Cricetulus griseus: one gene and its partners. The protein of the gene in region 3 binds, or shares a complex with, the protein of the main gene of each other region. Links are inferred from orthologs where the notes say so. Each region holds a gene or a part of one and is shown on either strand. Other genes may lie near its edges.

Evidence for each region.
Region 1: the proteins of Gnat1 (region 3) and Pde6g are in contact, whole or in part, in a cryo-EM structure (PDB 7JSN), measured with the Bos taurus proteins. The link is inferred for Cricetulus griseus from reciprocal best matches to the Homo sapiens genes GNAT1 and PDE6G. Residues at the interface, in NP_851365.1 of Bos taurus: Ser140, Arg201, Arg204, Lys205, Trp207, Ile208, Phe211, Asp227, Val229, Glu235, Val236, Asn237, His240, Glu241, His244, Leu245, Ser248, Ile249, Ile281, Phe283, Glu305, Leu306, Met308; in NP_776846.1 of Bos taurus: Arg36, Gln37, Phe38, Lys39, Ser40, Lys41, Pro42, Pro43, Lys45, Leu60, Val66, Ile67, Cys68, Pro69, Trp70, Glu71, Phe73, Asn74, His75, Leu76, Glu77, Leu78.
Region 2: the proteins of Gnat1 (region 3) and Unc119 are in contact, whole or in part, in a crystal structure (PDB 3RBQ), measured with the Homo sapiens proteins. The link is inferred for Cricetulus griseus from reciprocal best matches to the Homo sapiens genes GNAT1 and UNC119. Residues at the interface, in NP_000163.2 of Homo sapiens: Gly2, Ala3, Gly4, Ala5, Ser6, Ala7, Glu8; in NP_005139.1 of Homo sapiens: Asp87, Phe88, Val89, Arg90, Phe91, Ile105, Lys106, Lys107, Gly126, Arg127, Phe128, Val129, Tyr131, Phe137, Val147, Glu163, Leu172, Ser218, Tyr220, Asn230.

The regions. Positions count from the first base shown.
Region 1 is NC_048600.1:132,940,655-132,950,306, forward strand, and holds Pde6g (retinal rod rhodopsin-sensitive cGMP 3',5'-cyclic phosphodiesterase subunit gamma), read right to left. Parts: upstream 5,371-9,652; 5' UTR 5,048-5,370; intron 2,756-5,047; 5' UTR 2,680-2,755; coding exon 2,534-2,679; intron 1,388-2,533; coding exon 1,347-1,387; intron 889-1,346; coding exon 812-888; 3' UTR 331-811; downstream 1-330. Other genes in the region: Oxld1 (oxidoreductase-like domain-containing protein 1), read right to left, coding at 7,833-8,383, 8,740-8,935; Ccdc137 (coiled-coil domain-containing protein 137), read left to right, coding at 9,060-9,193, 9,421-9,554.
Region 2 is NC_048600.1:91,726,527-91,736,049, reverse strand, and holds the start of Unc119 (protein unc-119 homolog A), read right to left. Parts: upstream 5,341-9,523; 5' UTR 5,227-5,340; coding exon 5,007-5,226; intron 4,192-5,006; exon of another isoform or gene 4,068-4,191; coding exon of another isoform or gene 4,061-4,067; intron 1,724-4,060; coding exon 1,610-1,723; intron 1,146-1,609; coding exon 1,043-1,145; intron 883-1,042; coding exon 710-882; intron 466-709; coding exon 353-465; 3' UTR 1-352. Other genes in the region: Pigs (GPI transamidase component PIG-S), read right to left, coding at 6,746-7,021, 7,317-7,527, 8,672-8,772, 9,154-9,299. UniProt on the Homo sapiens protein: Involved in synaptic functions in photoreceptor cells, the signal transduction in immune cells as a Src family kinase activator, endosome recycling, the uptake of bacteria and endocytosis, protein trafficking in sensory neurons and as lipid-binding chaperone with specificity for a diverse subset of myristoylated proteins.
Region 3 is NC_048597.1:215,857,422-215,866,910, forward strand, and holds Gnat1 (guanine nucleotide-binding protein G(t) subunit alpha-1), read right to left. Parts: upstream 5,470-9,489; 5' UTR 5,193-5,469; coding exon 5,188-5,192; intron 5,100-5,187; coding exon 4,958-5,099; intron 4,873-4,957; coding exon 4,715-4,872; intron 4,607-4,714; coding exon 4,478-4,606; intron 4,303-4,477; coding exon 4,173-4,302; intron 4,004-4,172; coding exon 3,850-4,003; intron 3,731-3,849; coding exon 3,540-3,730; 3' UTR 2,198-3,539; downstream 1-2,197. UniProt on the Homo sapiens protein: Functions as a signal transducer for the rod photoreceptor RHO. Required for normal RHO-mediated light perception by the retina.

The DNA of each region.
Region 1 (9,652 bases), on a different chromosome or scaffold from region 3:
GGGGTGTCAGCCCAGTCTCAGAATGGACTGGCTGGGCCATGGGGATCCTCATTAGGCGCTTGTGTTTAGGTTTCTAGTTTTTGTCCTTTCCTACCTTCTTAGAGAGTCTGCGTCATTAACTATGGCCACCAGGAGTGAGGGTCAGGGCCAGGCTTATATCCAGGACCTCTAAGCCAAGACTCTGTGCAGTGTGTGTTCAATGGGAGTTTTCTATTTCTCATTCTCGACACTGTCTGCTACTTCCACCTGCCCTGAACCTTCATCCATGGCGCAGATAAAGCAGCCCTACTGCTGACGCCGCACTCCATCAGTGTGCCTGCCTCAGATAAGTAAGGGCACGCTAATTTTATTTTGAAAGAGGGACAAGGGACAGAGTATGTTGGGAAGGCTGGTATAATGGGTGGAGTAGCCTCTTACCACATCACCCCAGGACAGTGTCCCACCCAAGACACCCATCTGGAAGGGCTGCAGGCAGAGGAGCTTTCTTCTGCACAGAAGGCAGTTCAGGAAGACATTATTGGGGAGTCCATTCCTGCATTCCAGCTACAAGGACGGGAGGTGGGGCTGGGTTCCCCTCCCTTCTTTCTTCTGACCAGTGACTTCAGGTCAGCAGAGTGTCCTGTGGGAGGCTGATGGCTCTTGGTAGCTGGTATCAGGGGATGAAGCTGTCCCACCTGGAGGCCAGGGGCAACCTAGCTAGGGACTCAGGCTTGGCTTTGGGAAGGGGTCCTGGACAGGGCTTACAGAGGGTGGTGGGGTGGAGTGGATCTTCAGCAGGCCTCTTCCACAGGCCTCACATAGCAGGGATTGACTAAATGATGCCGTACTGGGCCAGCTCATGCAGCTCCAGGTGGTTGAAGGCCTCCCAAGGACAGATGACAGTGATGTCTGTAGGAAAGGTGTGATTAAAGAGGACTCCATGGCCCTGGGACCAACCCATTCCCTGTTCCCTTTCTTTTCACTCCCCACATAAAAGCCATGCCTGCCTAGGTTTCAAGTCTAAACTCTGATGGCAAATCTTCCTCCTAGGCAGGAAGCATCAACTTTGTCCATCTACTGGGTCCTGCCTCCAGTTGAGAAGAAAGTGGAAGACCCACATGGGAAGCTGAAGGGACCCTAGCCCAAAGTTGGAAGGAGCAGCAAAAGTTTCTTCTGTGGCTAGTGAACCTACCCCATGGGGACCACCCCTCTCAGTGGGATCTGAAGCCTGATGCTGGGAGAGAAATAGGAACAGGATGGGAGGCAGGCCGGGCAGTAGAGAGGAACCTGGGACCTGTGGAAGTGTATCTGAGGGATGCAGGGACTCGGGAGAGCTACCCACATGCAACAACCCTGAGTCGTCATACCTGTTCCCAAGCCTTCCATTCCAGGAATGTCATCCCCAAACCTGCAAGGACAGATTGGTCAAGGATGATGTCTCCAGGTCTAGATCTAGCCACCCTTGCATACCAGACTTCCTCCCCAACATCTGCTACTGGGCAGGGTCTGAGCTCTCTTTTACCAACATGGGACTAGTGTGCTTCCCAGATTTCCACAGGCCAAGGACCAGGAAAGGAAGCATGAGCCCAGGTACACACGGGCTGGCACCGACACAGTGTTGTCTGGGTGGGTATGGGCTGTGCGTCTCTGCAGGAGTGTGACGTGGAGCGTGTGAGTGAGTGTGAGGGTGCCATGTGTGTCTCAATGTGCCAGCTGTGGTGTGTCCCTGACAGACAAACTAGTCTCCAGTGTGCAACAATATTGAGAGGTGGTGGCTCTTTAAGAGGGGTCCCAAGTAGAGCGTGATTGCATCACAAGGAAACATGACCGTGGATTGATGCTGCTGTCCTCACAGGACAGGGTTACAACTCTACAGATGAGGTGGCTGTAAGGGAAAGGCTGGCTACTCTGCTTTCTATGTTTCTCTGTGTAGACAGGGTTTCTCTGTGTAGCTTTGTAGACTGGGCTGACCTTGAACTCACAGAGATCCTCCTGCCTCTGCCTCCCGAGTGCTGGGATCAAAGGCGTGCGCCACCACCACCCTGCTCTGTTTTCTCTGACTACATACGATGTCTCCTTTACAGCTCTCCTGCCATGACACTGCCCTCTAGGTTGTAATATAGCCACAGGGTCTTTACCAGAGTCCAATCGGCTGAGACCACCCTTCCTGGAACTCTCAGTCTCCAAAACCGTGCACACTACAAATCCTCTCTATATAAAGCTATATAAACTGTATTCGTGTCCCGTTATTTTCTCATAACAACAGAAAGCTGGCTAAGGTAATGTCTGTAGGTGTTCACATGTAGGTATCTGTGTGTGCACAGGTGAATGGTGGGGCACACACACATCCCTGAGGAGATTCAGGCAGTCTGCTTTCCAGACCTGCCTGGCTGCAGCACCTGGTGTAAATAATGGGCCCCTGGTTCCCCCAAAACCAACTCCTGAGTCCCCATTCATCAGAACGAAGACAAACTGCTGCAAGGAACCTTGTCCTCCCATGAAGCCTGGGAACAGCGTTCCTTCTGTGAAAGGTTCCCCTCTGCTGTTTGCTTACCCTTGGACGCCTTTCTTGGGAGGCTTGCTCTTGAACTGCCTGGTTTGCCGTTGCTTAAACTTAGGTGGTCCTTTCCTGGGGGTAACTGGTCCTCCCATCACCCGAGTGGCCGACCGGATCTCAGCCTTGGGTGGCTCCAGGTTCATGGTGAGGGTGGCAGAGACACTGCAGTGACCCTTAGCTTCTGGACTCGGTCAGGCTGGGCTGGCCTCCTCATGCAGGCTGGGGTAGACCAGACAGATGGAATCCCATTAGCTCTTGCTCTTCCCATCCAACCTTAGGAGCTGAGGGCCTGACACCCAGGAGCCACCCTGAGACAGTTGTCTCCACTGCAGGAAACCACCCTGCCACCCTACTCCCCCCCCCACTTCCCAGTATTCTCTCTCCTCCTGGCACCATCAGGCACCTCCCGCTGCTATCAGCCACAGGCAACTCATGAGCTCCCTTGAGCTCCCTTGTGCCCATTCAATACTCCTAACTCACATCAAACACAATCTTTTTGCTGCACCACCACCACCATGTCGCAAACCAGGGCTTTTTACTATCTCTCCTTGAACACCCTTGATCCCTGCACCCTCCCTCTCATCCCCTGGGATCTGACCTAGCCATGTCACTCTGTGGAAAGCCTTCTGAGGACTCCTGGGATGGTAAACATAGGATGCCCCCTCTTGATCCTGCAAGCGATTCCCACAGCCTCTCACCATCTCTTCCAAGTGATCAGTCCCTGGCTGCTGTCACTGGTGGCAGGTCCCTTCTCAGGAAGGCCTCCTCTGACTCTACGTCATGTCATTCTATATTCCCAGGTCCTAATTTATTTCTTCATACCTCATTCTTTTTATTTTTTGGAAACAGGGTTTCTCTGTGGCTTTGGAGGCTGTCCTGGAACTAGCTCTTGTAGATCAGGCTGGTTTTGAACTCACAGAGATCCGCCTGCCTCTGCCTCCCGAGTGCTGGGACTAAAGGCGTGCGCCACCAACACCCAGCTTTCATATCACATTCTGGCTAAATTCCTCATTTATTTACATGCCCCCTTAAGTCTGTTTGTTCTTATTTATGTACTTGTTGGTTCCACTTATTATCTGTCCCTTGGGGTTGGACTTGGTGCTAATGAATAATGCCCCACAAAATAGAAGGGGCCTGTTGGGTGCCCCTCACTTTCAGGGCTCTGTTTCCAAGGGCCAAGCCAGAAGCAGGTCTCAGGGAGGGCAGTTACCCTGGGATTCTTCCCTTAGGCTGCTCACTGGCTCACTGGCTTGGAGATTTTTCTTGGTTAGACATCACCTGAGGACTCTGCTGCCCTGCATCAGGCCACAACCTAGAACACACTATACAGGATGGCCCCTCCTCCTCTCCCTAAGAGCACTAAGCCCCTGTGACTTTGCCAAGGACAGCACAGTTTTCTGTAATCCTATTAGTGCCTCAAGGAGACTCCTAATCTCCCAGAGTTTCTAGGAAGCTGCATAACCCTCACATGCTGCTGAATACAGGTGGCCCACACAGGAGGTGCCGCCCCGACCCTGAGGTGTTCAAGGGACTACCTCGGAGAGGCCCCTCTCTGCCCTCAGTCCTATGTGGTGTAGCGCTGATCCAGCCTTAAGCCACTGTCAGTGGTCTGCTGGAACATTGGGGCTGAGACTAGTCAGCAGACAAGGATGAGTCTGTTGTAGTCAACGTCCACGTCAATCTCAGTGGCTCCCCCCACCCTTCCTAGGTTCAGCCTTTGTCCCTGAAGCCAGCCAGCACCAACCTCAGGGACCAGGACTCAGTGTTGGTATTCAGGCGTCTGCACCGGCCTGCCCTTGGGGTTCTGACAGGATTCACCCTCAGCTGCAGCCACTAAGAGCACCACCTGTGCACATTCACTGTGTTCCCTTTTAAAAGAGCCCTGCCCGCCTCCCATCCTTCTCTGTGTTCCTTTTTCTCTCTCTGTTCCTCTCTCTCTCTCTCTCTCTCTCTCTCTCTGCCTCTCTGCTTCTCTGCTTCTCTCTCCACTCTCTTCTCTTCTGCTGCTCCTGCCCCCAGAGCCTGGTCCTCCCACTCCCTTCCCCCCTTCTCTCATTCACTTCCCCCTAATTAAAAACTTCTCCACGTGAGCTCTGTTGCGTGGTGTCTTTCTCTCTCGTGCTGCTTTTTATAATTACTACACTCAGGCCGCTCAGTCCTGAAGCACCCATCCCTTACTTCCCAGTGGTAAAACACTTCTCAAACCAAAGGCCACCCCCGACAGAGCTCCAGTGATCGGTGCTGTTTCCATGGAAACCATGCCTGAGAAGCCTAGCCCAGACTGAAGCTAGTTCCATTCAGTTGTACGAACAGGTGGCTGGCCTTGGTAATGGACATTTGACATTGAGGAGAAGCAGAGGAGGTGGCTGGCAGGACAGGGATAGGGGACCAGCTTCTAAAGACTCAGAGCTCAGTAGAGACGGTAAAAGCCTGTTGATGTCCCCCGACCCCAGCTCTGAATGAGCAGACACCTGGCTGTTGGAAAGGGCAACAAAATGGGTCACTACTCACCAAGCACTGGGCAGGTCTCAGGGAGCCACAGGGTCCCGTCGGCTGGACCTAGGAACTTATCCTCCTGCTGGTGAGCCGATTATGTCTCTCTCTTCTGACGCTACACGAATGAGATTGCTGGGCCTTGAGGGAGCCACTGGGCTGCTGGGGGCGGTCAGAAGGGGTTCAGGTGCAGACAAGGGCCTGAAGGAAGAACATCCAAGGGGAGGCGGAGTATGATATTCACCAGCTGTGGGAGTAAAGCTCCAGAAACAACAGGGCCACCTTCTAGACAGCTCTTGGTTGGGCGACCCTCCCTTTCTGTTCCATCCATGGAGAAACCTGTCTGTGGACCTTGATGCTCTATGTGGCAGCCCCCCCCCACCCCCAACACGACGCATTCCAACCCTGCTACTCTATGTAGTCCACGTTTCCTCTAGCTTCCTCCTCTGGGGCCTCTAGAGCTCTGCCTCAGTGTCTTAGAGCCCCTCAGGCTAGGGTAGAACACATATTTCAGTTCAGCTTTTTTTCCTTCTTTACACTCATTTGTATGTTTGGATAAGATTAGCTTTTTGTTTTTCTTTTCTTTTTAAAAATATGGTCTTATGGGGCTGGAGGGATGGCTCAGAGGTTAAGAGCACTGACTGTTCTTCCAGAGGTCCTGAGTTCAATTCCCAGCAACCACATGGTGGCTCACAACCATCTGTAATGAGATCTGGTGCCCTCTTCTGGTGTGCAGATATACATGGAAGCAGAATGTTGTATACATAATAAATAAATAAAATGTTTTTAAAAAAATATGGTCTTATGCTCTTTCTTACTGTTCCTCAGAAGAGGCAAGCAGGTTTTTGCCTCTCTCTCTCTCTCTCTCTCTCTCTCTCTCTCTCTCTCTCCCTCTCTCTCTCTCTCTCTCCCCTCACTCCCTTCCCTTCCCCTACCTCCCCTTGCCTTCCCCCAATAAAACTTCCCACATCCAATCTGTCATGCAGCAAAGGATGGTCTTGAACTCCTTGTCCTCCTCTGCCCCCAAGTATTGGAATTACTAGCATGAGCCAACACAGCCAACTCTGCATGACTCTTCTGTTAACCTTTGTCTTTTGCACTGAAGTAGTAAGAGGAGACATGTTATTCATTTATTCATGTTTTTGTTTTTCGAGACAGGGTTTCTCTGTGTAGCTTTGGAGCCTATCCTGGCACTCGCTCTGGAGACCAGGCTGGCCTTGAACTCATGGAGATCTGCCTGCTTCTGGGGGAGGCATGTTATACTGCTAGTGTCTGGACCACTATGGGGTATTTCACAGATGCTTGGTGGCATAAGTACCTGGGGATTAAACTGATGGAGGCTGAAAAGTTTCTACACCCTGATAAACCTCTCCGATGATGCAGTAATCCACGTTTAATGGATACAGCGCTCCCGAATGGGCTTCCAGCCCCCCAGACAGGAGATGGGAAAGTGAGACCAGAAAAACCACAAGTCTGTTCTCTGGGGGACAGTTTAAATACCCTGTGGGAGTGGTCTTGAGTATCTCTGGGGGAGGCGCCATCATTTGGTGGGCTTTCTGAGATGCAGCAGGGTTTGGAGGGAGATGGGGGAGGGGGCTAACATCCCAGACTCTTTGGGTGTATGGATATCAGCTATTGGGGTGAAGCTTCCGCCTTAACAGAGGCAAAATAAGATGCAGGCCAGTGCGGTAGAGTCCGAGAACTTGAGTGCCACACACCTAGAAGCAGACCTGGGCGTACTGCAAAGGGCTGGCCAATGACTTTTTTTGGAGGGCATCTCATACTGCATGGCCTTACTGGCCTTTGCCACAATTGTCAAATGCTGGAAATTCTGATTTTTGTAGGACCCACTGGTGTTAACATTTCCTGGAGATGGGAACAATTGTCTACCTGCGCTAGGTATGGCGCACTCCTTTAATCCCAACACCCGGGAGGCAGAGGCAGGCAGATCTCTGTGAGTTCCAGGTGTTCCAGGACAGCCAAGGCTGAGAAACTCTGTCTGGAAAACCAACTATCTTTTGAACCTCTTTTCAGGAGGGCATGTTTCAATCCAGATTAAGTAGCTACACAAATGTCTGAGACCATTGTCATGTTTATCTGGGCCCAGCCTCTGCTGAGTACTTTGGAAGGCACGTATCATCTGGCCAAGAGGTCAGCCTGAACTGTGACCTGTCACCCAATAGAAAGTGCCCCTACTCTGTGGTGTTGGTTTTGTCACAGGTCTGTGTAAGACACCAAACATGGAAAAAGCCCTATCAGCTCAAACCCAACAGGAAGTCACTCTACAAGCCTAGCTTTCCCCTTAAACAAAGTAAGTGGAACAGATACATTTAAGCTCAGCCCTTGCTAGTTCTGGAACTTGATGCTCCAACTGCTTTGGTTTCTAGCAGTGCTCACAACTCTAAGGGATGACCCTACACTACTACTTGGAAGAAAGAACATCTCCCCAGGACCCAGCAGGAGACAGGGAGCAGCTAGGCCCCTCCCACGTGACGGTTCTCATTTATCACACAGATGGGGAACCAGAGTTTACGGTCAGCAGGACATCCCAGCTACACTGGGGCCTGGAGGTGCTCCTGCCACAGGGTATTCAGGGAGACAGGGGTTTTGGTTTATCTTCACCGGTGAGGAAAGCTGGCTGCTGAGCAGGGACACACAGCTAGCCGATGTATGCTTTATCTGACAACACAGGCAGAGGGACAACACGATTGGGTTGTCACAGGGAATTTATTAGGAGGTGAAGTTGCTGCACAAGAACAAAAGTGGCCCCGATGCTTCTCAGGGATTGCTTCTGCTCACTGCCTCAGCCTCCACTTTGCATTCTGAGGCGGATCTCCATTCTGAGGAAGGCCTTGAGGTTCTCGTCAGTCACATGCTCCTCAAGGATGGCCAGGGCCTGCTGCCCACCATCCTGGTAGTGCCTCAGCAGAGCTTCTGCGTAATTTACCCACACACAGTTAGGACAGCCGCTCAGGCAGCAGTTTGTGGGAGGCTGGAGCTCGGGTGGCAGAGAGTACGGGGGTCTCATGAGGTTCTCAGGGGGCAGGGAGGCCTTTGGCTCCCTGTTATCCTCTGTACCTGCTTGGAAACCACCTTCCTCCCTGTGGTCCATCCCCAACGATCGGCAGCTAGCAGTGGCTTGCACCGGAGCATGGTGTCTGTGAAGAACACCGTGTCTTCCTCGGGGAAGACCCTGGCCGCAATCCCAGCTGGAGAACTGCTGTGTCCCCTGCGAAAATGGGATACTCAGTGTGACTCTTCCGGAAGCTGGTAAGGCACAGGGGTAATGTTCAGCCTTCCTAGCACTGGACCGGCAGCTCAACATCCTTCTCGGCCTCCTCACTTCCTGCAGGACTGTAGACAAGTTATTATAGCTCACTTCTGTATACTGTTTCCCTATCTGGGAAATGGGCAGGTTGGTTGGTATGAGAAGAAACTTGCTAAGGGCCTGAGGGTTCAGTGTCAGGCACTGGGGCCTGAGCTCCAGACGACTGCAGGAGGAGCAGCTCTGGATCAGACGACTAGACACATGACTGATCCTGGACAGGACGGGGGGAAGGCCACAGAGCCAGCCGGTTTTAACTCAGCACGCCTCCCCTGACCATGCTGGCTATCCTCCTTCCATCCCTTCACGGGAGAAGCTCAAAGGATATAGGGTCACCCCATTCTCCGTCTCTAGCGCCTCAGAGACCCTGGGGTCTGATGCTCACCCGCGACCCTGGTCACTAAACTCTTGCAGTGCCCTTGCCCACTAACTCGTCTGGGGCGCAAACCTGAAGAAACCTCAGTGAGCAGGCCTCCCGGATCTGGGACACCCCGGCCCGCTGGCCCGCGAGTACTTGCCCAGCGGCAGAGCGCAGCTCCCACCCGGCCTCCCCGGGACAGGCTCTGCAGCATTAGCCCCATGGCTGGGGCCGACGCGGGGGACAACGGAGCAGGGAAGGCGCGCAGGAAGCGGAAGTGATGCTCATGGGGCGGGGTCTTGCAAGAGGGCGGAAATGGCTTCGTGCGCGGAGCTCCTGGAGTAACGATGGCGAGACCTGGGCGCGCAGCAGTGGCAAAAGCCGGGTCTGCGGGGCTTAGAGGCCCCGGACAGACGCACGCTCGACGGCAGGAGCCGCCGCGGGGACAGCAGCGCTCGGCAGCATGGCCGGGACGGCGCAGGTGGGTGCGGCCAGCCCGGGCGCACGCTCAGCCATGTGCACGCAGTGAGTGTCTCCAGTCTCCCGGGAGCTCTGAGGCCGTGTGCCGGGGCTTTCGTAGCGCCCTTTGCCTCTGCATGCTCGGCAAGGGCGAGGAGAGCACCTGCACCGCAGCGTTACAGGCGTCGTCTTTACTTTGTTCTGCTTGTTGTACTAGGGAAGGGTCTCACCCCTGGCTTATCTTTCCAGCACGGAAAAGAAGAAAGTGAATTGCAAGCCCAAGAACCAGGATGAGCAAGAAATTCCTTTCCGGCTCCGAGAGATTATGCGGAGCCGACAGGAGATGAGAAAGCCGCTCAGTAACAAGAAGAGAAGGAAGGAGGGTAAGTACAGCCCTCGCGAGGTGCCAGCCTGGCACCTGTGTCTGAACCCATCCAGTTGCCCAAATACTCAGAGGTGTTTGAGGCAGCGGAAAACGAGG
Region 2 (9,523 bases), on a different chromosome or scaffold from region 3:
GTGGTGGGCAGGGGATAGGGAATGGATCCCTAACCTGATCTAGTCACAGCCTCAAGAAGGGAACACTATTCTGAAACTCAGGCCCAGTGGACCAAGGAGGTATCCAGAAGTCCTCTGCTTCCAGGAGGCCTTCCAGAACATAGTGGCAAACAGTCTCCCCGATTGCCCTTCCCCATGTGTCAAGCAGGCCCCATGAGCTTCAGAGGCTTGGCCTAGGGATGCTGGGCACCCTTCCTCCCAACACTGACTCAGGGTCCAGAGCCACTGGAGCCGGTCCCAAGTTGAGATGATGTTGGAGAGGTCACAGCACAAGGGCTAGGCCAGAGCCTCATAGGCAGGGGCAGCGTGGGGGTCAGGGTGTCCCGCTGTAGGAATAGTCTGCTTTATTGTGCATCACGAGCCGGTCATCCACGAAGTAGAAGCTGTCGGACTGTGTCTCATATGGGTGACGAATCATCTCGCTGACTGCAAGAGAGGCCCAGCCAGGGCAAAGGTCAGGAACCTGAGCCATGGCACTTTAAGGACTTCAGGACTGGGACAGATGAAACACTTCAGAGAGTTCCTCAGCTTCCCTGAGCCTGTTTGCCTCCTGGTGATGGGAGTGGTGCCGGGTAGGGAGGTGACCCAGGATGGGTGAAAGGGGACTAGGTGTACAGGTACCACACTTGTACCCCACCCCCGCACTTGGACTCTACACATCCCCACTCACTTAGCTCCTCAGACAGAGGCGGGAAGTCATAGATGTGTTCACAGGTGTTCTTGCTGCTGGGGATGCAGAAGCCAAAGTGGAAGTCGAAGCTTTTGAGCAGCTGGTTCCGGAAGTAGTGCCTCTCGATCATGCGGAAGTTGTTGACTGGCTTGTCTCCCACTGTGAACTCCACCCTGAGTTAAGACAAGGGGGCAGGGCTGAGAGCAGCCTCCATGCCAACCAGCCAGCCAACCAAGGGACCAGGCTCCAGGCAGACCACTAGTGAGAGGCTCTGGAAGGGCTGTTCCCACCCTCGCACTCACCCCCAGCCCTCACCCCAGCCCAGTGACTCACGTGGCTCCCACCTGCCTTAGGCGAAGGAAGGCAGGTGTGAACTGGTAGCGAACAAAGCGCCCTGCATTGGGGTCCAGGTCCCGCCGGTTGATGGGCAACCGTTCTGCAATGTACCCCAGCTGGGCTCAGTGGGCTTCAGGCTGGGGCCCTTGCCTCCTCCACCCTCCCCCAAGGGACTGTTTGAATTTTTCCAAACTCTCCAGAAGATTCTGGTACACTTTGGTTGAATGGTGGTACCTAGAGGGCTCTGTGTCAACAAATCATCAATTTTCAGGGGTTCCCAGAGCCACGGGATGTACATAGGATCATGGGAGGTCTTTGGGACTGTAGTTTTCAGGGAGGCCAGCAGAGGGCAGGCTGGCCAATACTAAATGGGACTATGCTCCCAAGATGTCCACCCTGAGAAACAGTAGCAGAAAAAGAGGCCTGTCTGCCTACGGTCACCTGAGTATGTTGTGGTCCAAGTCTAGACTCTGTTCTGGCCCTCTGATACTCGAGAAACCTAGAGAGCCCATTCTACTGTGTTTGCCCACCTTTTCCTGTCAGTGGCCCACCTAGCCTACTCACCTGAGACAGGGGGCTTCTTGATTTCAAAGAGGACAGTGCCTGAGTCCATGTCCCGGATCTTGAATCTGACGAAGTCAATCTTGTAGATATTTTCTTCCGGGGAGCACAGGTAGTCTAGGGGAGACAGGCAGGTGAGCAAACAGGGACCCCAAACACCACTGTCAATTTAGTTTCTGTGGGACCCCAAGGCTCACTCTGATCCCACTGGCCACTAACCTCCAGAAAGAAAACTGTGACCATTTGGGAGAAGTTTCCACACTGCAGGGGACAGAATTCTGTTATGAGGACATTGTCAGGGATTAACAGTCCCATCCTAGTGGCCTCACAGGATCAGGCAAGGGAGGTTACCTCTACCAAACCTTTCCTCCCACCTCTATTTTGGGGACCCTTATTTCAGCCTCTGCTCTGTCAAACTGGCAGGCATCCTTTGGACAAGTGTACCTCCTGTGTGGGGGACCTCACTCCAAAGGGAGCGTGCAGCTCTGCCTCTTGAAGGAAGGCTGCTATAGTTCTTCCTTGAAGTGTGTCCCATCCCCAGTACACACCCTGTGGCATGACATAGATGCATCAGGCAAGGCTGATCTTGAGGAGACTTCCCCTTGCATGGGTATTTTGGAGGCAGGTTGGTACCCCTTCCCTATTCTCTTGCTCCCCGCCCTCCTCCCACATAAGCAGCTTATGCTAGCTCTGCTGACTAAGCTCAGAGCCAGGCTACTGGGGAAGAAGAGGCCAACTTTGCTCAACAGATCCTCTGCTGCTCTCCCAATGGGAGGACATCTTAGCAAACAGAGGGAATCCTTAGAGGTCATTTTTCCAGCCTTGGCCTCGAGCCACCTTCAGGGATAAAGTGCTCTCTGGCCAAGCCAGAAGAGAGTGTGGTTGGAGCAGCAGGATATGAATGAGGCAAGGAGAGTCCTGGGCTCAGAAGGAAACCAGGAAAGCTAGGCATTGCCTAGGGAGTTCATGGTCTGACCCTAACCTCTCTTCAGTTGTTGCTATTCCTAAGCCGGGGGTCTCATGTAGCCTAGGCTAACCCTCAAACCCACTAGGTGGCAGATGCTAGCCTTGAACTCCTGTTCTTCCTGCTTCATACAACTTACTGTTCTCATGGCAGCAATAGCAAGTCCTAGGGGAAGCCCTGGCAAGAAACAGGAAGGAGCAGAAAATGCTAGGGAGGCTTGGGTGCTGTTAAGGTACCACATCCTCCCTGCTGACCTACAGAGGCCGGAAGTCACCCCTGGGCCACCTCCTATTCCTCTTGTGGTTGGAAGAGGAAGTGAATACAAAGTCATTCTCTCTTCCCTAGGGCAGCCCCCTCCAGGAAGCCCTCCTGACAGCCCTCTAGCACCTTGGAGCTTGGCAGAAACTATATAAAATTTTAGAGGGTGCTGAGCTCTGACCTATCCATCACAGCTCAGTAAGGTCTGCCCCACAGCTATAGAAGATGCTGCAGAGGGAAGGGAGGGTGGGCAGAACCTGGAAGCAGGATCCTAGCTGCCCAACTCCCAGGAAAAACCTCCCTTTTTACCCTGTGTCCAGCTTGGGAGCCTCTCCTCTCCCTGGGAACAACTTCTCACACCCAGACCTTAGTCTCTTACACTGAAAACTCAATCTGTCAGCCCCTCTGCCCTAGCAGGGAGTGAGGGTCAGGGGCTGCCTAGGGCTCAGGACACTGCAGCCACTCTCTCCCCTCTGCAAAACAAGAGGCCTAGGACCCAAGGTCAGTCCAGAGTAATGGCTCAGAAGCCAATTGCTCTCCCTGTAGCCACAAATAGCTCCCTAAGCCGGATTCAGGGCCTGGTAATCCAGGAACAGCAAACCTCAGACCTATGTGATTAGGGTCAGAAGATAGCAGGCAAGGTGGAGAGGCCTGGAACCCTGTTTTCAAATCCCACACAGGAAAGGGCTCTCACAAGGCACTTGTCCTTGCTCAACCTCTACAAGCTATGAATTCCCTCCAGACTGGGAGACCCATGCTGTGACTTCACCTGGAGGCTTCCTTCGTTGCAAAATAAGCCTTCAGTTATCCAGGAGTGAGGCAGGTGATCCTGCCCCCCACCCATAGGGCTAAATTGAACTGTATGGGCTGCTGTTACAAAATGCAGCCCACTGGCTTCCACACCAGCCTGGTCCAGGCCCCTCCCCCCTCCACTGATGCCTGCTTGTCCAAGGGAGGTCTAGCCAAGAATCTGCCGCTGCTGCCTAGCTCTGAACGGAGGAGGGAGGCCCCTAGGGACCCAGATGCACAAGCTCAGGCCTGCCATCCTGGTCTCCACAGCTGTCTGGGAGCCCTCAGCTCTGCTGCTCCTGCAGATCCATCCAGGCTTTAGGTTCCACTCTAGCACTTGTGTCCATCCCATAGAAAGGGACTGCTAGCTCACAAAGGGAGCTGGAGCAGGTTGCTGGTGACCCACCCATTCCAAGGCAGTGTGCCACTTTCTCTCCAAATACCTTCCATTCCTCAAGGCTCAGCCAACCTTCTGCCAGAAGACTCTCTAGTCCTGTTCACCATCTGTAGTGACGCCTGCCTCTGCCCTGAATGCTCACTTATCTGCCTGCAGACAGCTGCTCTGAACCAAGTCCTGTGTTGATAAAAAAGCCCTGTTGACATAGCATGCATAGCATGCCAAGCATTGTCGAAAAGCAGGAGACAGGCTTTATTTCACAATAACCTTGAGGGAGGTAACATTGTTCCCATTTTACAGATGAAAAAACATGCCTCTGGAAATGAAATTACATCCCCAAGGTCACACAACCAATTATGGGGCAAAAGTGGGACTCTAGTCCAGGCAGCACAGCTTGGAAACAGCTCCAGTGGAAAATGGGCTTCCATTGATGAGAGAGCCCTGGTTAAAAAAACAAGTACCAGCCAGTCCAGGCTTGGGATCACACACTTGTTTCCATGACACAGCCCACAAGCCAACAGACTGAAGCACCCGATCAGTAACGTTCCTGGGAAGAGTATGGCGCTAGCCCTAATGGGGAAGCAGGGTGAGGGACCCTGGAGGTATTCCTCGACTCCACCTCGCCAGAGGATAGGTGCTTAAGAGACTGCCAGTCCGGCACACTCCTCTGTGACCAGCTTCAAAGAGTCCACAGGGGAAAGGGTTCAGATGCAACTGCTGCCCCACCTCTACCATGGGAAAAGGGGTGGGCCCCTTGAAAAGGAAGGAGGGAGGTGAAAATAAGCCCTACTACATGTAGAGGAGGGGCGCACCAAGACACCAAGGAAAATAACAGAAATCTCAGGCTTGGAGGCAAAGGGAGAGTAAAGGGACACAGAGGAGGGGCACTGCGTGGGGGAAGGGTGAGCGCGGGGGCCGGACTCTGAGCCTCGTGGGCCCCCTCCCGAGCTCTCCCTCCAGCCCGCGGGTGGCGCTCCCTTGCCGGTGCTCACCGCCCGTAATCCGCTGCAGCCCCAGCACGTCGTCCGGCCCGATGGGCTGCTTGCCCTGCAGCGGTCCCACCCTGGGCCCCGGGCCTGGTTCTGGCTCCGACTCGGACCCGGACTCGGATTCTGCCCTAGGCTCCCGCGTGGGTTCCACACTCCGGTTCGAGGCCCCTGGAGCGGGCTCCGCCCCCGTCCCGGTCCCGCCGCCGCCCTTCTTCACCTTCATGGCCTCGCGGGGCGGCGGATCCTCGCCTGCTGCTACCGCGTCTGCTGCCTGAGCTGGCTGGAGTCGGGGGAAGGGGGAAGAGTCCGCCGCCCCACCCCCGGTCGGGCCCCAGGTGCCGTCCCGCCTTGTCCACGCCCATAGCGGGCGCGTCATGCATGCCCCGCCCACCGACTGGCATCTCCCCCCCTCCGCCCCCCCCACCCCCTCCGGTAGAGTCAGGATCCTGGGGTCCTCTTGAACTTCACGGTTCTTTTGGACAATGTAAGGTATACTGAATACCTCTCTTTCTCTCTGGGTTCCAGCCTCAAGGTCTTTCCCTGATAGCTCCATCCTTGAACTGATTCCAGTTCAAGTCTCAACCTCCCACACCCACCCAGTTCTAAAGTACTTCCTCTCAGTTTCCAGCTAACCAGCCTGTTGTTTTTTTTTCTAATGCATTAGGCAAAATTATTTGTATTTGTGCCCTGACCTTTGCTCCTCAAAGGTCAGATCTATGAAAGCAACCATACTCTATACTCTGTTCTCTATAACATCCCAGTGCTAGCACAGTGCTCCTGGCAGCCAGTACCCAGGATTTCCCTTTGTTGAACTGATGAGTTAATATCCCAGGGCTGTCACTGGCTCAAGCTATTCCTCCCTAGAATTCCTGCTCAAAAGCAGAAGCATATATTCACAGCTTTAGGCACCCTACAACATGCAAATATCACAGCCCAGGTGTCTAGCCATTCCCAGACTCCACAGTCAGGTGGGACATGGAAGACCTGTGAGCTCAGGGCAGATCAGACTGCTTCTCACACATGAGTGAAAATAATGATATGTCATATCAACTCATATTCAACCAATGTTTATTAACAACCTAATACATATTTTTAAAGAGCCCAATATACACAACACTTTTATATGCTTATCACATTTAATCCAATGCCCTTCTGAGAGTGACGTCATTAATGCTTTCCGACAGATGAAAACCTGTGGCTCAGTGAGAAGCGCTGCTTATCTAAAGCTCTCCAGTACCTCAGTGCAGCAGGGGTCCAATCCAGGCCTATTGGATTCTAAGTCAGAAGTGTTTCCTCCTATACCACACTGCCTCTCTGAAAGGGTAGAGGGGAACCAGTTCCTAAGCCACTGCCTCCTAGACCAGGCTAGGCTGTACCCAATGGGTGATACCAGTCAGGAAGGAGAGGAAGGAGGGAGAAAGTCTTAGAAGTGGAGAGGAGGGGGCTACAATTTAACCCAAGGATTTCCCCTAAATCGACCCCTCAGTGCCATAGTATGCTGTGCTGACAGGCTGGAAGGACAAGGTGCCACTGCCCAGGGGTAGACAGGCAAAGGCCTTTAAGTTCAAGCCAGTGGGATAGGGAGGGAAGGGAGGATGAGTCCATCGTTGAGCATCATCCTTTGGTTGGTGGAGAGCCAACAGAGAAGAATGAAGACAAACCATCAAACCTCACTTTGGTGTCTTGGCCCAACACTCCTAGCTTGGCCAGACAAGAAGTCTACCTCTGACATGCCACCCAGCTCAGTCTACCTTCTCAGGCTTTTTCCAGGACTTGTGAGTTTCCAGAAAGATCTTGACCAGAGACAGGAGGATGGGCACAGCCATAGGCAGGAAAAGTGGGATATAGATAGCAAATTTCTGGTCATCAGGGAAATACAAGAGGTGGAGGAGTGAGGGATCAAAAAAGGCACGCTCAGAAGATGTCACAGCTTCCTGGCTGGCCACAAAGGCAGATGACAGGTGCCCAAGGGCCAGCTCCTCTGCTGCCTTCTGGACTGCAGCCACAGCCCTATATACCTAGGAAGGTGAAGGGATAGGAGTTAGCAATATGCCCTGGGCATGGGGTAGGGGAAGAGTGCTGGCCTTTTAGAACCCTCTGTCTCCCAGGGAAGTTTCCTGGAGTCCACCCAAGCTATGTGGAAGTTAGTCAAAAAGGGTTGTTTATTTTCTTGAGGGTCAGCTTAAAACTTTCATTTGTTCCTACCTAGACTCCCATGGGGAGCTGGCATGGCTTCCAGAGGAAGCCTGATGTATTTATTAATGGATGGCATGCTCACAGGCACCCTGGCCCATCCCTTCCTAGCCCATTTACCTCAGATGCCACATCATCCTTGATGACAATGTTGCTGATCTTGCCCAGAAGCTGGGCCAGGGAGGTGAGGGTGGTGGTGGCTGTGGCCAGGTTCTCCACTGACCGAGCCCAGAGCAATCGGTCCAGCTCCCAAGTCATGAGGCCTTCACTCTTTGGTCCTGAAAGCAGGCATTTTGGAGGCACCTGGGGCTGAGTAATCCCAAAGAGAAGCCTGTGGAAATGGCACCGGGAGACCAAAGTTGCTGTGAACAGGGGTGCCAAAGCTAAGATTCCCATAGTCTCTGTCTTAAGCCAGTCACTTTTGGTTTCACTGAGAACAACAGAGTTGGAAAGATGAGTAGCAACAGCAAACAACCCAGATTTCCAAACCCCACCTTGACCAAATATTTCCATTTCCACACTGGAGTTCCAAGATCTTGTCTGAAAATGGTGCTGTGGTTTAAGTGTTTCTTTAGCCCCAACTTAGTCCGGTTCCCTCCCTTTCTTTGAATAAATGGACTCCATGGGACAGGGATGGCAGGCCCATCTTTGACAAGACATGTGTGCCTCAAGGTACTGCCAATTACAAGAATACAGTCCTGATTAGCCCAGAAGCCACCTTAGCATCTTCGATGTAGAGCATCAGATGACTGCCCTCAATTCATGTGTTAGCACAAAATAAATAGCTATTTTCTTAAAAACAAAAACAAAACAAGGAGCTGGAGGGATGGCTCACTGGCTGCTCTTCCATAGGAGCTGGGTTCGACTGCCAGCACCCACCTGATGGCTTACAACCATCTGTAACTCCAGTTCCAGAAGATCCAATGCTCTCTTCTGGTCTCTGTGGACACTAGGCATACAGGCAGGCAAAAAAGCCACACACATAAAGTAAAAAATAAAATAAAAAATTTAAAAAAGATGAGACCTTATCTCAAAAGAAAACAAAAATAATAAAATAGTTGCTCATGCTCTCTCTCTCTTTTTTTTGAGACAGAGTTTTTCTTTGTAGCTCTAGCTGTCCTTGAACTCCCTCTCTAGACTAGGCTAGCCACGAACTCACAGAGATATGCCTGCCTCTGCCTTCCAGGTGCTGAGATTAAAGGTGTGCACAACAGTTATTCTCTTAGACACCCCTAATCACACATGGAAAGCTGGCTTCTATTTTTCTGAAGGAAGCTTTGCCAGGTGCTTGTCTTCCTTAGGAGAAGGACCACTTGCAAATTTTTCTTGGTCTTTCTCGGGTCTAGGCACAGACATAGCACTCCACAGCAGTCCCCCAGGCAACATTTCATTCCGCTATATCTCGCCTATATTCAAAGAGACGATGGGCACACCATCCATGGGCATAGCCCCAAAGAGGTCATGCAGGGCCTTACTTCAACTGAGCCAGGAACACCTCCATCACCTGCACCATGTCCACCTCAACTTTCACTGGCAGATCTGAGGCATTATAGATTTTGGGATCAACGTTGTATATCTGAAAATGGGGAACAAAATAACCTCAATACCACACAGGACCACGCATATTTCTGCTTAGTATTCAGGGGCCATCAAAGAAAAGGAGGCTATGGCATCTGGTATCCACAGGTTATAAATCCAGGGGCACAGCACCCCCCTTTTAAATTTTGAGTACCCATGTACTTAAGTACGAAAGAAGCTTCGGTACATTATACTAATTGCCCCCTCGGAAGTCCTATGAAATTCAAAGCAATTATCCTATTTTAGCATTCCTACCCACAGACCAGAGGATAAAGGAGAGAAGGGCCCCACCATTGTAAGACTCCCCCAGGGAAGCCAAGAGCTAACTAGGGTGGACACAGACCTCCAGTGCAAACTGATAAGTCACAGTGACTATTACCATAATGCCACCCCAGCGGGGACTGTGGAAGGCATTGGTGGCCACTGGAGCCCCATCCTTGTCCTGAATGTACAGAGGGGAGTGGGCAAGCTCAGGCACATAGAGCAGAAAGTTGAGCACAGGGTACAGGGAGGCAGCGCTGGATCCTGTGGTACAAACAGAGGAGTTAGGATACCAAAACATGTGACTCCAGGCTCAGCCTCTTCATGGCTGGGAGAACCCCGTTCCCCAAAATGATGCTTACTAGGACGCTTGCTACTCCACATTGATGGGACACAGTCCTTAACCCCCAAATGTCCCTGGTTTTCTGCCCTGTAAGAGCCCGCCCTCCACTGTCTACGACAGCTCTCTTGGACACTAACAAGAGGAA
Region 3 (9,489 bases):
CACATCTCAAAAAAACATGAGGTGACTGAGAATTCTTTAGCATGGAAAAGACCCTGGGTCCAATGTCCAGGCCAAGGAACAAAATAAGGGTGTTCACAGAAGAAGATCCAGGCATGGTGCATTCCCAGCACTTAGTAGGTGGAGGCAGGATTGCTAGTTCCAAGTCAACCTAGGCTACATAGTACATCCTGTCTCAAAAACCAAAGAAACCGCCATGGAGGTGAATGCCTCTAATCCCAACACTCGGGAGGCAGAGGCAGGTGGATATCTGTGACATTGAGACCAGACTGTTTTACAAAGTGAGTTCCAGGACAGCCAAAGCTGTTACGCTGTTACACAGAGAAACTCTGTCTTGAAAAACCCAAAAAAGAAAAATAGAAAAAGAAAACATATATAGGAATAGATATTTTTCTGTATATTTCAGGCTCCAATAAATCTTGGCATGCCTTTCTTGAATTTTTATAATTTTGTTCACAGTGAATTTTTGCATTAATTTTATTTTTTTTTGTTTTTTTTGCTTTTTTCAAGACAGGGTTTCTCTGTGTAGCTTTGGAGCCTATCCTGGCGCTTGCTCTGGAGACCAGGCTGGCCTCAAACTCACAGAGATCCGCCTGCCCCTGCCTCCCAAGTGATGGGATTAAAGGCATGCGCCACCAACGCCCAGCTAATTTTAATTTTTTAAAAGTTTTTTGTTGTTGTTGTTTTGTTTTGTTTTCTTTGAGATAGGGTTTCTCTGTGGCTTTGGAGGCTGTCCTGGAACTAGCTCTTGTAGACCAGGCTGGTCTCAAACTCACAGAGATCTGCCTGCCTCTGCCTCCCGACCACCACCTGGAAAAAGTTTTATTTTTAGTGTGTGTGTGTGTGTGTGTGTGTGTGTGTGTGTGTGTGTGTGTGTGTGTGCGTGCGCGCGCGTGCATGGAGGTCAGAGGACAACTTTGTGGGGTCAGTTCTCATCTTCTGTCTTTATGTGGGTTCTAGGGATGCAACAGGTTTGTTCAGCAAGTGGTTTACCTACTGAGACATCATACTGGCCCTAATTCTGATTTTAAAGGTGTGTGACACCATACTGGACTATGAGTGGTAAAAGAATATTTGAAGCTGGGCATTGGTGGCGCACGCCGTTAAACCTAGCCCTCAGGAGACAGAGGCAGGATGATCTCTGTGAGTTTGAGACCAGCCTGATTTACAGAGCAAGTTCCAGAATAGCCAGGGCTACACAGAGAAACCCTGTCTTGAAAACAACAACAAAACCCCCACATTTATGTATCCCTGGTTGGCCTGGAACTTGCCATGTAGACGAGGGTGGCTCAAACCCACAGAAATCAGCCTGCTGAGATTAAAGGCATGTGCCACCATGCTCAGTTCCTGATTTTTTTAAAAAAGATTTTATTTATTTATTTATTTATTTATTTATTATGTATACAACATTCTGCTTCCGTGTATATCTGCACACCAGAAGAGGGCATCATATCTCATAACGGATGGTTTTGAGCCACCATGTGGTTGCTGGGAATTGAACTCAGGGCCTCTGGAAGGAGGTCGGTGATCTTAACCTCTGAGCCATTTCTCCAGCCCCCTGATTTATTTTTTAACATTAAATTTTTATTTGTTTTCGGTTATTTATTTGTTTGTTTATTTGGAGGCAGGGTTTCTCTGTGTGGCCCTGGCTGTCCTGGGACTAAGAGATCCACAAACCTCTGCCTCCCAGAGTGCTGGGATTAAAATTGTGCTAGCAGCTAAGGCTTGTAAGTGTTGAGCCATCTCTCTCCAGTCCCCCGGGTTTTTTAAGGCTATTTTGTTATTGATTATGATTGTGTGCGTGTGTATCTGTGTGGGGGTGTGTGGAGGTGAGTACAGGTGTGTGTATAGTACAGGTGTGTGTATCTGTGTGGGGGTGTGAGTACAGGTGTTCATAGCCAGCCTAGGCTACCCAGTAAGACCCTGTCTCATAAAACAAACAAAAAACTCCCTGCTGATCTGAGGCTGCCCCGGTTAACATTTCCCATATCCTTCAGTCTCGGTCAAAGGTCATGAGTTGGACCCATTACCCCCTCCAAGATCTCCAGAGCCCAAGTCAGGCCAGGCACTTTACCTTGCAAGGGGTCATCTTCCTACATCACTGACGTCTAGTACTTAATAAATGTCCAGGACTCATGGTAACTAAGCTTCCCCCACAGACCCAAGAAAGGACAGCAGACCCTTTGCAAAGGTTTATTGCTAAGTCTGTGAACATAGCCAAGGGAAAGTACAGATGACGCCCTAGCCTTGCTGGACAGAAGCGCTGTGTCTCCACAACAGCAGCACTGACTCTGGTCCACAGGCTTAAGTAAAGACTTTCGGCTTGATGAAGAAAGGAGTGGCTGGGGGTGTGGGACATTGTCTCTAATGGCTCAGGCATGACTTTCAGTTCACTCTCTCCAGGAAGGGGCCCTACATCCGGAGGGACAGCAGAGTCACATGGAGTCGACTGGAACCTCACATGGGATATTCTTTGCCCATGGTTGATCGATAGAGTTGGACTCTGCCCTCAGCCACCCCTCAGCGTAGCTTGATTATTGGTCAGAGCTGATGTCAATAGTGCTCTCCTTCAATACACCACACCTTGATCAGCCAGCCCTCAGTATTGTGTGTGGGTGGAGGAGGTGGGGTCCAGAAGTGTCCAAGGACAGAGGGGAAGACCCAGAGAGAGAAAGGGACGGGGAGATGCCCTGAGACTGGTACTTGGGGATGGGTTTGGCTTGTGTCTCTCCCTGGTACCTACCTCAAAGTCACTAATTTATCTGTGAGCCTACTTAGACCAGAGCTTGGACTTTGGATCCCTTGGGCTTCTGGGAGGGACAGTCACTGACCACTGGGTGGACAGATGTTGGGCTTGTCAAATGCAGGTAGCAGGCTGGAATGACCTGCTGGCAAGCAGCAGGACTGCTTGAGGGAGGGATACCTCAAGCCCTTCATGAAAGCTGGGGAGGGCAGGGAGGGCTGTTTGCTGAACCGAGATCTGCCAGGTGAGCTGCTGCTGGTGGGGGTGGCAGAAGGGCGTCAGAAGACCGGGTCACTTGGGCACTGCTGAGTCACTGTGAGCGCCAGCTGTCCCAAGTCCTGCCTTGTCCTAGTTGGGGCTAGTTGCTGTGGGTCCAAGAGGCCAGTGCAGCCAGGCGTTGAAGGGCAGGGCGGGGTTGGGGAATTGGGGGAGGGTCTGCACTTTAAGCCTCGGGGCTTGGGTGTGGCTAGTGGAGCGGAGGTTGAGGCACAGGAGTTATTGGGGACTACAGGGCAGCTGGGCTACTGAGTCTCGGAGCAAGGGACATAATTGAATACAGGTATCTGTGAAGAGAAAAGGGAACGCAACCTCAGCATCCTTGAGCAGCAAAATAAATGAGAGTAGTGGGTGGGGCCTCTGGTAGTGGGTGGAGCCTGAAAGCCTGGGCAGCAGGGGGGGCAGTCTGGAGCAGTGAACGCCTGGAGGAACTAGGGGCAGGGTTGAGGTCCTGAGATTACGTTGGAAGACAGTGGAAGGTCTGGCTAGCTAGGTCCCCACCTCAGAAGAGCCCGCAGTCTTTGAGGTTCTCCTTGATGATAATGTCGGTGACAGCGTCAAAGACAAACTTGACGTTCTGTGTGTCCGTGGCGCACGTCATGTGGGAATAGATCTCCTTCACGTCCCGCCGCATGTTAAGCTCGAGGAACTGCACTTTGATGTAGTTGCCGGCATCCTCGTAAGTGTTAGGTCCTGCGGCAGAGGGCAGCACTCGCTCTGCGCGGGAAGACCTTCCGCGGGAAGGAGCGCGCTGCGCGGCGGGAATCGTGGGGCTGGGGCGCCGCCTGGCGGCCGGGACTAGGGACGCTCACCATCGTAATCGGGAAAGCAGATGCTGAGGTGTGCCTTTTTGATCTTCTCGGAGAAAACGTCCTTCTTGTTGAGGAAGAGCACGATGGACGTGGTGGCGAAGTAGCGATGGTTGCAGATGCTGTTGAACAGGTGCAGGCTCTCGTGCATCCGATTCTGGGGAAGGCAGCAGGCTGTTGGGCACCAGGCTACGCAGGCAGCTGCCCTCGGTCTCTGGGCTCCCGGGACTTGAGCGCCTCCTCACTCCAACAGCTCCCAGACAGCCTCAGTGGCTCCCGGGGCTCCACCTCCCTTGGCAAACACTCAGGCCTAACTGGGCACTCACCACTTCGTCGTCCTCCACCAGCACCATGTCGTAAGCGCTCAGTGCCGCGATGAAAATGATGCACGTCACACCTTCGAAGCAGTGGATCCACTTTTTGCGCTCGGAACGCTGCCCGCCCACATCGAACATTCTGCAGGACAGAACCAGCCGTGTCGGGTCACCTGGACATGCCCACCGGCAGCCCCTGTCTTCCTGAGCCCTCTTAGGAAGTGGCATCTGGGGTGACCAGCCTTTCTCTTGGCCGGGGTAGGGCCTTCCCTCTCCGGGCAGGCCAGCTCAACAAGCGTGCCGTGCAGGGCCCTCACCTGAAGTTGAGGTCCTTGAAAGAGAACTGCGTCTCGATGATGCCAGTGGTTTTGACACGAGAACGCAGCACGTCCTGCTCAGTGGGCACATATCCTGGAGTCACCAGGCGCTCTAGGTCTGAAAGATAGCTGAGGAAGTGGGTGAGTGAGCATGAGGGGGAGTGGTGTGGGAGAGCCCCCCGGGCTGGGTCCTGCCCACCCACCTCCTCTGCTCCCAGCATGCACTTGTGCACTCACTAGCCAGCAGAGTCGTTGAGCTGGTACTCGGAGGCTCGCTCAAAGCAAGCTTGGATACCCGAGTCTTTCCACAAGCGCTGAATGATGTCAGACATCTCCTTAGGCATTGTGCCTTCCTCGATGGTATCCGCCATGTGCATCAGCTTCCGGGCATCATCCTGATGGTAGGGCAAGGTAGTGGTTGGGAACCTGAGCCTAGCCGGGTGCCCAGAGCCCCTAGGGAGTGGTATCAGCCTGCCTCACCTGTCGGGCCGAATCTCCATACTGAATGTTGAGCGTCGTCATAGCCCGAACGATGGCCAGGATGGACTGCAGAGTGTTGCCATAGATGATGGCTATGAACTCGAGGCATTCTTCCAGTGAATAACCATCCTGGTGGATAATCCTACAGCCCAAACCCGTAGAGTCAGAGCTTCCTGGGCCAGCAGGGAAGGGCTATAGCTAGGGGCTAGGGGCAGGGAACACTCACTCACTTCATCTGCTTGACAATGGTGCTCTTCCCGGATTCACCAGCACCTGGAAGGGAAGCTGTGACTCAGAGCAGCACTGACCAGCACTGACCACTTCCTGTGGATCAGAGCCCTGGGGTGCTAGCTAGAACTCTAGATAGACTCGCTCTCATTTCCATCCAAAGTAAAGTCTTGAAGACCCCTGGGGGGAAATGGTTGTAAATAACAAAAGGGACTTAACATTAGTTATGTGATCTTAACTGTGCGGGCACAGGACGGGCCCCAAGATTCTGGTATATAGAGCCTTTATTATGCTGCAATATCAAAATAAGGAAACCTCTAGGGCCACCTTGTGGATATTTCCAGTACTGTATGCACAGGATTATCTGAATGGGACCAACCTCTGCTTTTCACCTACAGACTAAAGAGATGTCTCTGAGAGGCTCAGAGGGAATTAGCACCCTTAGATGAGGAAGAGGACAGAGCTGACATCCTTCCTGAGCCTGCCCTCCTCAAGGGTGTTGGATATAATTAATGGGATTTCCGGCTTAGCTTCTTGGCCTTTCTCCAGGGGGCCCTGGCTTAGTACCTCTGCCTGCCCCCTAAACTAGCAACTTTCCCCTGGGGGTTAAGCAATGGCAGTACCACATCTCTCCTCACTACCCATGGGATCATGGGCTTTATTTATTCTTGTAGGTGACAATATCTTTCCACTTTCTCTCCTGCCTCCACCCCACCTGGGTTTCTCTGTGTAGCCCTGGATATTTTAGAACTTGCTGTGTAGCCCAAGCTGGCCTCAGACTCAAAGATCCGCCTGCATCTGCCTCTCAAATGCCGAGATTAAAGGCGTGTGCCACCACTGCTTGGCATCGTTCCTCTTTCTTTAGCTGTTTCACCAAAGATAAAATTCTGCCACCTAGTGCTTTTGTGGACATGAGTGGCCTTAGAGGCTTCTTATTCTCAGGGGAGAAAGGGCCGCCAAAAAGACCTGAGCCTTGTTGAGCAGGCCCAGAAAACCAAAGGCTATACCTTTAGGACAAGTGTGGCTGAATGCACACATTTATTCAAAGGTGTTTGACACTCACTTCTGCAGAAAGAAGAGTGTCCACAGGAAATTGCCATAGGATGCCTAACCTTGGGAGACTGAGCCATCACCACCTGTCAGACGTAGCAGGGGTGGGGGTGTGGGGGTGGGGGTGCCCTGTCCCACCTGAGCCCTGCCACACCACATTGTCATTCCCACCCACCCCCAAGGAATCCTTGCTCCATAGAAAGGCTGCTTGCCCAGCCCCAGGCTGCTGACCCTCAGCAGTCCCCTCCCCATCACTGGACAGCACCTTACCCAGCAGCAGCAGCTTCACGGTTCGAGCATCCTTTTCAGCATCTTCTTTTAGCTTCTTCTCTAGCTCTCTGGAATGCTTCTCCTCAGCACTGGCCCCAGCCCCCATGGTCCCAGCAGCAGGCAAAGGGACAGGGTAGGCAGCCTTTGGCCTCCTCAGACAACCTTTTGGCCCTAAAGCTGGCAATCAACTGGCTCTCCACGGACCTGTACAGGCCCTGGTGGGATTGCTTAGTGGGATTTGGGAGCTAGCAATGCCCAAGGGCCAATCAGAGACAAGGACAGGTGAAGCTCAGTCTCCTAGCCTTTTAATCAGGCTGGCAAGGCCCCAATCCTTCGACTGCTGACTCCGCACCCCTCTGCCTCCTCCAATTCTCCAGAAGAGACCCGAAGAGTCCATGCCTTGTCCTGTAGGAGTTTCTTGGTATAGTTGAGGGGAAAGACCCTTTAGTCCCAGAAGTAGAACTGGGGCTGGGGCCGGCAGGGGAATACTGAAGGAGAAGCAGTAGATGACCTCCTGCTTGCCCGCAAGACTGTGTTCATGACCACTCTTCTGTGAGCTTACATGGAACGTGGGGGAAGGTGTTGCCCAAACCACAGCCCCATTTTACTGGTTAGGAGGAGCACAGGGTCACATGTTTAGCAGTGGTTCACAAGTGTGAACCCTCTGGATCAGAGGGTTCTGTGCCTGCTGGAAACTACAAGGCAATAGGTGACTTTATATTTGCCTCACACTCAGGGCTAAATGTGACCCCGAACATGGTCTCTACATACCTTCTGCAGGATGAGTCTGAAATACATGCCTGGGTGTGTCTTTCTGTTCCTTACTAGGACCAAGTAATGACTTGAGCCTGTATACGGGCATGTATGTGTTCACCTGGTAGTAGCTTTTTGAGTACATGTGCCCTTACACACCTGTTTAATTGACTATGTATGCAATGTGTGTATGTGCATTGGTGCCCTGTGCCCATGGTGGGGATCAAATCTAGGGATTCGTGCATGCTAGACACATACTTTACTCCTGAGCTGCACCCCAGCATCCTATGCTTGCCTTACAGGTACAGGTGTTCCTGTTTATTTTGCAGTGCTTTGTGTGGGCTCATTGCTGTTTATTCCTGTGTGCCTGGATATGCTAATGTAGGTAACTGTGGGAGACATGCTACAGCCCACTTGCCTGTATTTAGATGCACACCTATGTCCCTGTGTGTGTGTACAGAGCTTGTATGTGCCAGTCCATGCACATACGTGTGTGTGTGTGTGTGTGTGTGTGTGTGTGTGTGTGTGTATGTATGTAATTGCAACAAACGAACTACAGAAGTGACTAAACTCTGAATCTTTGGCAGGTCTATTGTCAGATATGGATGCTGAGGCTTGGTGCTCCCCGGAGTATGGGAGAGTGGGGGTTCCACTGCCCTTCTTCCATCCGGTCCACTCAATGGGAGACCTGCATAGGCACCATTAAAACCTGACAGCCCCGACTCCGGTGTGGAGACCTGCTCAGGTGTAGCAGTTGGTGAAATGTGGCACCTGCTGAGCTGAACTCCTGGGTTCTAGAGATTTCTCATCCACATACAATTGGAAACCCCAATTGAGAGTCTTCGGCTCTCAAGGCTCTCTGTACTAGTCGAGCTTCTTCGTTGGATTTCCTGAAACCAGACCCAACTCTGCAATAGACAACTAGGGGGGTGTCAGCATCCCAGGCACTGAGCACGAAGTTATCACTAATCAGGACATGTGGAAGTAGATACCCTCATGCATTTTGGGCACTCATTCTACTGAGGAGGTTCTACTCAGGAGCAAGACTGCTTCGTCTGTGCCACAGGGATCTTGGGCAAAGCAGCACAGGAGCCCTGGCTAATTCAACTAGCCTGTTTTCTACATATCGACTATTTTTGTTGTTTTTGTTTGTTTTTCGGTTTTTCAAGACAGGGTTTGTCTGTGGCTTTGGAGGCTGTCCTGGAATTAGCTCTTGTAGACCAGGCTGGTCTCCAACTCACAGAGATCCGCCTTCCTCTGCCTCCCGAGTGCTGGGACTAAAGGCATGCGCCACCACTGCCTAGCGGAGCCTTTTTTTAAAATTATTTATTTTATTGGTGTTTTGCCTTCACATGTCTATGTGAGGGTGTTGGATCCCCTGAAACTGGAGTTAGAGTTGTGAGCTGCCATGTGATTGTTGGGAATTGAACCGGGGTCCTCTGAAAGAACAGCCATTGCTCTTACCCTCTGGGCCATCTCTTCAGCCCCCAAATGAACAAAATGCCAACATGAGTTTAACTCTTCTCCTTTTCTTTTCTTTTCTTTCTTTCTTTTCTTTCTTTTTTTTTTTTTTTTTTTTTTTTGAGACAGGTTTCTGTGAAGCCCTAGCTGTCCTGGAACTCACTCTGAAGAGCAGGTTGGCTTCAAACTCACAGAAATCTGTCTGCCTCTGGCTCACAAGTGCTGAGATTAGAAGTGTGGGCCTAACCCACCTCCATTCCCACCTCAACCACCAAGCAGAGAAAGCAAAGTCTAGTCCCAGAGCCAGTGTTTATTAGCAAGATGGAACCCAAGAGTGGCTGTGGCTTGGGTAGCAGAGGGCTGCAGGAGCCCCCAACCCATCTACCCAACTGCCCCCAGAGCTATTTACACCCATCACCTGAAGCAGTGGGCAGAAGGGAACCTTTTGGGATGCCCTGCAGACCTGGGGCCTCCATCATGGCGCATGTACCCTCAGGGCTGGGGGGATCTTTCAAGCCGCACCTGTACCCGGCCCCATGGCATCTCTCCCCATGGGTCAAGGTGGCACAGGAAAGCTAAGGAGGTAGAGAGGGGTGGACCTGCCAGGACAGGCAAGGAGGGGAGAAGAGGAGGTCCTGCCCCACCCAGGCAGACTTCTCTTCTGTCCCCAATAAATAGAGAATAAATACCTGGGAAAGGTTGGCCTTGACTGAGCACCCCTGACCCAGGCAGGGGCCTGTATCCTGTGATGGCCCTTCCCTCCCTCCCTC